Linked DNA regions of Oryctolagus cuniculus. The protein of the gene in region 1 purifies or fractionates together with the protein of each later gene. This does not show direct contact. Links are inferred from orthologs where the notes say so. Each region holds a gene or a part of one and is shown in the gene's direction. Other genes may lie near its edges.

What was found.
Region 2: the proteins of CSK (region 1) and TNS3 purify together in Homo sapiens (affinity purification with mass spectrometry; 4 studies listed by BioGRID and IntAct, with this or other methods). This does not show direct contact. The link is inferred for Oryctolagus cuniculus from reciprocal best matches to the Homo sapiens genes CSK and TNS3.

The regions. Positions count from the first base shown.
Region 1 is NC_091443.1:108,911,295-108,915,766, reverse strand, and holds the start of CSK (tyrosine-protein kinase CSK), read left to right. Parts: upstream 1-1,478; 5' UTR 1,479-1,827; intron 1,828-4,472. UniProt on the Homo sapiens protein: Non-receptor tyrosine-protein kinase that plays an important role in the regulation of cell growth, differentiation, migration and immune response.
Region 2 is NC_091447.1:53,170,019-53,173,820, reverse strand, and holds part of TNS3 (tensin-3), read left to right. Parts: intron 1-1,597; coding exon 1,598-2,788; intron 2,789-3,802. UniProt on the Homo sapiens protein: May act as a protein phosphatase and/or a lipid phosphatase. Involved in the dissociation of the integrin-tensin-actin complex. EGF activates TNS4 and down-regulates TNS3 which results in capping the tail of ITGB1.

The DNA.
Region 1 (4,472 bases):
CCAGCGCCAGCCCCTCCACCCCCGCCAGCCCCTCCACCCGCTCTTATCTTGCTGAATCTGCACCACCTCTACTCTCGGGAGGGAGGTGCACACCTCATCTTACAAAAGAGGAAACTGGGCCCAGAGACCTTAAGTAACTAGCCCAAGGTCGCACAGCCCCAGGAGGCTGAACTCTGAGAGCTGAACCCAAATCCACACTCTTTCAACATCACCCCGCACCCATCTCTGGGTGCCTCCTCCCAGGGGTCAGAGGGCCAACCTGCCACTCCTCGGGGGGGGGGAGCAGGGGCACGGTGGTCTCCAACTCCCAGCATCATAGGTGCTCCCTCTCCCTCCTCTGGGCCCCCAAAGTCTCCATGGCCCCCTCGTGCCTTTGGTCCCTCGGGACTTTGCCAATGGGTCTGGTCCACCAGGGAGAACGCCCATCCTCCTGTCTCCCTACATCAGACCCTGGCTCCAGGGCCAGTTCCCAGAAGGTGCCCGTAAACTCCAGGTCCGCCTGCCCACGACTGAGCCCACTGCCAGCTCCTGCAGCTCCGGGCTGGCCCCCTCCCCGCCCCTCCTCCACGGCGGTGAATGATAACAGCCCGTACTTAACCGAGGGCCCACCACGTGCGCCGGCGGCTGCACGCAAAACAATTTAGACATATTAACTCATTTCCTCTCCACAAACCCCAGAGACGCACAAGCTGTTATTTCCCTCGTTTTATCAAATGCAGAGACAGACAGGTTCAGACACCGGCCCAGGGTCACTCAGCTACTGACCACTTACTCCCTCACTGTCACCTACAGGCTGAGCGTGAAGTCCAAGAGGGTCCCGGGGAGGCTGTCCGGACTCTCCCAGCCCTGTGGCTGCAGGAGCCCAGCTCCCACCGCTGCACCTGGCGCACCACCTCCACCCTTCCATCACCTCCCGCTTGGCGAGCGCCTCTGGGCCCGCCAGTCTGCCGCCCACCCTCCGAGAACCCCCGGACGGCGACCGAGCGGTCCTCCTAGGAGCCCCCCTGGCAGGGCCCGAGGAGCCTGCGCGCACCAAGGAGCGCCCCCTGCGCGAGGCGAGGGCGCGCTCTCCGTACACGGACCCGGGGCCGGCGCGCGGGCCGGGGGTGCGGCTGGGACGGACCCTCGCACGGCCAGCCCCGCGAGGCCCGGCGCGGACACACCCCCCGCGGTGTCCCCGGCGCCCGACAGGGGGCGCCGCCCGCGCCCCGCCGCGCCGGGCAGGCCCTCGCGCAGGCGCGCTGCGGCGGGCGGAGATCCGGGCCGCGCTTCCTCTCGCCGGGGCCTGCGAGCTTCCTCCCGCGGAGCACGGGCGAGCCGAGGGTGGCCGCCGCCGCCGCCGCGCCCCCCGCGCCCCCCGCCCGCCCGCCGCAGCGCGCGCGCCGCCGCCCCGGGGTCCTGCCGGGCGGGGTCCGAGCGCGCGCGCGCGCGCGCCGCCGTCGGGGCGTCCGCGGCCGCCGTCCCGCCCGCCCAGCCCTCGCCCGGCCGCCGAGCCCGCGGGGCGTGCAGCTCGCGGCCCCCGGCCCCGATCGAGCGTGCGGGGCGGGCCCCCCGGCCGCCGGCGCGACGTCCGCCCGGCGAGCCTCGGGGCGGCGCGGGGAAGCGGAACTCCGCCGGGCCGCGCGGGCCACATTGTTTGCGCCCCCTTCCGCCGCCGCCTTTCTTCGCGCCCGGCCCGGGCCGCGCGGCCGCCCCCTGCCTCCGCCGGGCCGTGCCGCCGCTCTTTGTGCCGCTCCCCCGGGGACCCCCGCCCCGCCCCTGCCCGCCGGCCGCGCGGAGCGTCCCGCAGGCCGCTGATGCCGCCCGGACCGCAGTGCCCCGCCAGAGGTGAGTGCCCGGCTGCCTGCGGCGGGGGGCGCGCGCGGGGGTGGCCCGTCCCGCTCCCGTGGCCGCCGCCGCCGCCGCGTCCACTCCCCACCCCCCACCGCCTGGGGCGCCCCATCGTTGTCGGGTTCGAATTCTCCCGGGAGCCACTGTCAGAAGCCGGCCGGGAGGGAGGGAGGGAGGGACCGCCTGCAGCCCCACAGGGCTTGTCGGGCCCCCAGCTCCGGTTGGTGGAGCTCTGGGTGGGTAGGGGGTCGGAGCCCCCCCCCCCCCGGGAGGGGAAGAGCATCGGTGTGGGCCGGAGCCTCTGCAGGTGCCCTGGCCTGCTTGCTCCTGACCCCTGCCTTGGTCCGGGCCGGAAGCCCCAGTGGACCCCTGAGTTCTGCCGGAGACCCAGGTCCAGGGCCTGAACCTGTCACTCTCAGAGATCTCTGACCCTTGGGTGGGGACATGGGCAGGGCTTGGGTCTTGGGTGGAGGTGACACCAGGCCATAGCCGTGCCTCCACCTCCTGCCACCTGGCTCGGCCCATTCTCCCAGGTTCCTCAGGGCCGGGGCCAGGTGTCAGGAAGGGGTGTGTCCAGCCACCAGAGCCTGGGAGCTTAACTGGGGCTCCCTTGTCGGCCTGCGGGGACCTGAGGCTCAGCAGGGCAGAGAGGGGGACAGCTGCCCCTGGCCTCTGGTGGAACGATGAGGCGGGCAGTGCTTGCCCCCAGCTCAGAGGCCGGGGCTGCTGCTGGTGGGGGGAAGCCCTGGGTGCACCCTCGCCCACTAAGGACGCAGGCCCAGCCCCAGGGGGCCTTGTGGGGTGAGCACGTGCTCCCCTGAGGAGGGCGAGAGGGGGCTTCCGGCCCAGCCCTGAGATTTCCCCCTGGTGCTTGGGGCTGGGTGCCCCCTGCAGGGGATGAGTTCTGAGGGGTGGGGGGGTCAGCCCCCACCCGGGCCTCCCCACGCCTCCAGCGGCTCTGTCTGTGCAGGAGCCTGGGAGCCCCCTCCCCGTTGGCAGCGCCTTGGCATGGGAACTCTGGGGGAGCGGGAACACCTGAGGGGCCCGGGCCCTGGGGTCCCAGCAGAAACCCGGCAGAGGAGGGAGGGTGTGGGGGGCCGCCCTTGCTTTAGGGTTCTGCCAGTTGCTGGGACACACACAGAGGAGACCCGGCCAGGTCCTGGAGCCAGAGCCTGCCCGGAGAGGCCTGGGGGGTTTTGAGGGGCAGGCCAGGGCCCCCGCCTGTGTGGAGAGGACGGCTTCGGGATGTGGTTTCTGTTCGGTGACCTCGGGGCCGCCCTGGCTCTCAGAAGTGGCCGCTCTTCCCTCTGCGTTGCACCAGGAGCCTCCTGCCTCCGCCGAGGCCGAGCCACGCGTGGTGCCCCGAGCCCGAGAGGGAGAGGGGCCAGGTTCAGTGCCCCCGCCCCGGAGTGGAGCCGGCAGAGCCTGGGGCGGGTGGCGGGTGCAGCTCTGTGCCATGCCTCTTGAGGACTTTCGGAACCCTGACACGTGTCCCCAAAGGGCAGAGGCGTTGAGTCTGGGGAAGAGGCCACAGAGCGGTGTCCCCACGGGTCTATGCCGTGGCAGAAGTGGCCCGGGCGCCTGGGCCCGAGTGGGGGTCAGATGGGGTCCGCGGAGGCGGTTCTGGGGTCACTGTACAAAAGTTACGGGTGTGCTAGTTTTCCCAACTTAGAAAGCAACAACCAGCACCAAAGCCAAGCAGAAAAACTTAGAAAACAGCAGAAATCCCCCAAGCTTTCCTGGGGGGCCGCAGGCCTCGTCCGCCGGCCACTGCTGATGCTGCGTTTGAGCGTTTTCCCAGGGGGCCTCGCGCTCCGGGAGACTTTGCCTCAGAAAGCTGCAGAGGGCCGCGGGCACCTCGGGCCAGGCCTGTGCGGTGCCGCCCCTCTGTCCCTGGGGTCATCCCTGTGTGTCCCAAGAGCAGCCAAGAGAGGAGCTGGCCGACGCGGGTGCCAGGCCCGGCCACGCCACGTCGGCCAGAGTGGATGGACGATGGACAGGTCCCTGACCCCCGGAGCCAGGGTCCTTTATGTAATGGGGATGCTGGCACAGCCCGTTTGCTCTCCTCACCCCTCACGGGGAGGGGGTGCAGGGAGGGCCCCAGTCATGGGCAGAGGTGGGGGGGTCCCTACCCAGAGAGCCCCCTCCAGCCGGAGGGTCTTGGCTACTTTGGCCAGTGCCCTGCCCAGCTCGCCTGCCTTCCCCTCCCCGTCACCCTGCGATTGGCTGGCCCAGGCCCGGGGCTGGCCCTGGGGAGACGGCCGCTGGTTGGTGTCCGGCCTGACCCCACCCATCAGCCTTCCGGCCTCGCAGCATCCGAGCTGAGTGCCCAGTGGCCTCCTGCCTCCTGGCTTGGGCGAGGCCAGCGCAGCCCTCCCTTGGACACAGACGCCTCCTGAGCCTGAGGCTCAGACAAGGATCCGGGCACCTCCACGGCCCCACCCTGCCAGCCTGGTCTTCCCAGCCTGTCCCAAGGCCGAGGGGCCGACTGTGGGGGCGGCCGCCTCCTCCTCCTCCTCCTCCTCCACAGGTGTGCCTCACCTGAGTGTGCGGGTGAGGGAGGTGGCGGCCAGCCTCTGCCTGGCCTTCCCTGGGCCCAAGACCCCATAGCCGCACGGGAGCTAACCCAGGCAGGGTCCCAC
Region 2 (3,802 bases), on another chromosome or scaffold:
TTTTCTGCTGGTGTTCACTCTGCTGCGATGAACACAGGGGGTGGGTAGGTAGATGATACACAGAGATAGATAGGTGTGTACACATGCATGCAGACACATACTACATGTACATAGGTGCACACAGATACGTGTAGGTGCACACACAGATACACACATGCATATAGATACATACATGCATGTAGATAGATACACACAGTGCCCGAATGCAGATAACACATACATGCATGTAGGTGCATGCATATACATGCATAGATGCATGTATCTATGTACACACAGATAGTACATACATGTAGGTGCACACAGATGCACGTGTCCATCCATACATGCATGTAGACCTGCATGCATATGCACACGTGTAGGCAGATGCACATATACATAGATAGATAGACAGATGTGTGCGTGCAGATACAGATACATAGGTGCATGCACAGAGATGCACGCATGTAGAGTGTGCATACACATACTACACACATGCACGTGTACAGAGATGCATGCATGCACACATAAATACACATGCAAGTAGATACATGGATAATACATGGAGCATGAACATGAAGGTTCACACATGTAGACAGATGAATGTGTACACACATGCCGTGTGTAGATAGATGCATGCATACATGTAGATACATGAATACATGGGTAGATGCATACACGTGCATACATACAGATAGAATTGACAGGATACATAGGATAGATACATCTGTACATGTAGATAATAAATGGATACGTGCTTATATACAAACATAGAACTGATAGGCTAGATACATACGTATACATAGATGTACACTATGTACACACATACTTAGAAGAGACAAGATAGGTACATGTGTACATGTAGATAATGTATACATACTTAATACCTACAGATGAATTAGCTAGGGTTGATGAATGGATAGGACAGACAGGGAGGGAGGGCGTGGGAACCCAGCAGAGCTACCATCCTACTGCCGTGTGCTGCTCCCAAGGGCCCGTGCAGCTGCCCTGTCCCCACGCTGACCACCTCTTCCCCTCCCCGACGAGTGCCCTGTCTGTCCCCACACTGACCGCCCCTCCCCCTCCCCCTCAAGTGCCCTGCCCCATGCTGACCGCCCCTCCCCCTCCCCCTCGAGTGCCCTGCCCCCACGCTGACCGCTCCCTCCCCCTCCCCCACAAGTGCCCTGCCCCATGCTGACCACCTCTCCCCCTCCCCCTCGAGTGCCCTGTCCCCACGCTGACCGCCTCTCCCCTCCCCATGAGTGCCCTGTCTGTCCCCACACTGACCCCCTCTCCCCCTCCCCCACGAGTGCCCTGTCTGTCCCCACACTGACCACCTCTTCCCCTCCCCATGAGTGCCCTGTCTGTCCCCACACTGACCACCTCTTCCCCTCCCCGACGAGTGCCCTGTCTGTCCCCACACTGACCCCCTCTCCCCCTCCCCCACAAGTGCCCTGCCCCATGCTGACCACCTCTTCCCCTCCCCCACGAGTGCCCTGTCTGTCCCCACACTGACTCCCTCTCCCCCTCCCCCATGAGTGCCCTGCCCCATGCTGACCGCCCCTCCCCCTCCCCCTCGAGTGCCCTGCCCCCACGCTGACCGCCTCTCCCCTCCCCACAGTGTTGCACACGCACGGCCCCGTGGATGGCAGCCTCTATGCCAAGGTGAGGAAGAAGAGCACCTCCGACCCCGGCATCCCCAGCGGCCCCCAGACGGGACCAGCCGCTGGCAGCCCGGAGCACGGCGAGCACACACTGTCGGTCAGCAGCGACTCGGGCCATTCTACCGCCTCGGTCCGGACCGACAGGACGGAGGAGCGGCCGGCCCCGGGCGGCAGGAGGGGCCTGAGCCCCCAGGAGAAGGCGGAGTTGGACCAGCTTCTCCGCGGCTTCGGCCTGCAGGAGTCGGGGCCTGCCCTCAAAGACATGGCCGACGCGCACAGCCAGGGCAGCGGGACGCGGCTGGTGGTGCCGGCCCAGGTCCACGTGAACGGGGACGCCGCGCTGAAGGAGACCGACATCCTGGACGACGAGATGCCACACCATGACCTGCACAGCGTGGATAGCCTGGGCACCCTGTCCTCCTCGGAGGGGCCGCCGGCCCCCCTGGGCCCCTTCCCCTGCCACAAAAGCAGCCAGAACTCCCTCCTGTCCGATGGCTTCGGCAGCCACGTGGGCGAGGAGCCGCTGTGTGCGCTGACCCCGGAGCTGGGCCTCGGCGTGGATGGCCTCTACGAGCGGGAGCGGACGTTCGGGGGCCGGGAGCCCAGGCAGCCGCCGCCGCCTCTGTGGAAGCCCTCGGTGTCGGCGCAGACGCAGGCCTACGGACCTGACGGCTACTCCACGCAGACCTGGGTGCGCCAGCAACAGATGGTGGCCGCCCATCACTATGGCCTTGCGCCCGCCGGGGAGGCCAGGCTCGTGGGCCGCGGCACTGCAGACAGCCCCAGCCTTATCCAGGCACAGCCCAGTGTCCAGGTCTCCCCCAGCCGCACGGCCAGCAGCCGGGTGACCGCCCAGAGGGGCACTGGCACTGGACTGTGTGCACGCGACTCCCAGCTGCCGACACCCAGGAGTGCAGGGGACAGGGTCGTGAATGGAGCTGGCCAGGAGCTGGGTGCAGGCCCCTCCCCGGGCTCCCCGACCCTGGACATCGACCAGTCCATCGAGCAGCTCAACAGGCTGATCCTGGAGCTGGACCCCACCTTCGAGCCCATCCCTACCCACATGAACGCCCTGGGCGGCCCGGCCAGCGGCCCCGTGTACGTGGACGGCGTGGGAAGTGCGCTCCGGGCTGGCGGCAGGCTGCAAGGTGAGACAGACACGCTGTCTCGCTGAGTGTGAGACCCCCTGAGGGGGACATTTCCCTCGTGGTTTCTGCCATTAGGGTTTCAGACCCGGGAATCTGAGAGCACTGTGGGGGGTCCCAAGGGTCCCCAGTGTCAGGCCGGGAGGGAGGGGCGAGTCCGGGAAAAGCCTTCCTCAGGGTGGGTGCGTGACAGGGATCAGGCCCGGCCCACCAAGGGGCCAGCCGAGTGCACACATCACATGTGGAGGTCTTGGCCAGGCAAGACCAGGAGCCGGCCCAGCACCGGCTGTCTGGGCGGTTGTGGGCGGGTCCCTGACTCCTCTGAGTTTCCACATCTGAGGGTGGGTTAGTGGGGCAAGCAGACGCGCCGTGGGTGAGTGCCAGTGTCCTGGGGGCTGACGGGAAGAATGGAGAGGGCAGCAGGGCCCCTGAGACAGCCTCATGGGGGCAGGGATGGGGGTAAGCGTTGGTGTTTAAAATGCCCGGATCACACCCACAGCTGCAGGTTGGCCACGTGGTGTGGGAGACCATTCATGGAGGCGACAGCTCTGGCAGAGGCCTGGGGGGCATTGCCAGGGTGGGGAGGGTCCTGCAGGTGAGAGGCGTTCCTGAGAGCAGAGGCCAGGGCGGGCAGAGGTGGGAGCGTGGGAGCCGAGGGGGGGACTCACTGGGGGAAGCAGGCTCGGGTGTGGGGCCGAGTTCAGCTGTGGTCCAGAGCCGTGAGCCTGGAACAGTGGGGTGTCGGGTTCTGGAGTCATGTGCGCTCTGCAAAGTGGGCGGGGCTAGCTGACCACAGGGCAGCGGGTGGGCGCTGCAGGCTCGGGTTAGCATGCTGTGGCCGTGTGTTCCAGCTGAGCCCTCCAAGGCCGCTCCTGTGTTTCACCCTCAGATTGGCTAATTATGAAACAACCTGATGGGCTCATTTTGAGAACCAGAATTTCGCTTTTGCTTTTGGACCTTCCTCAGTTCTTTTCCTCATAAGAGAACTGCAGTTTTGAAACGCGAAGACTTCGTATT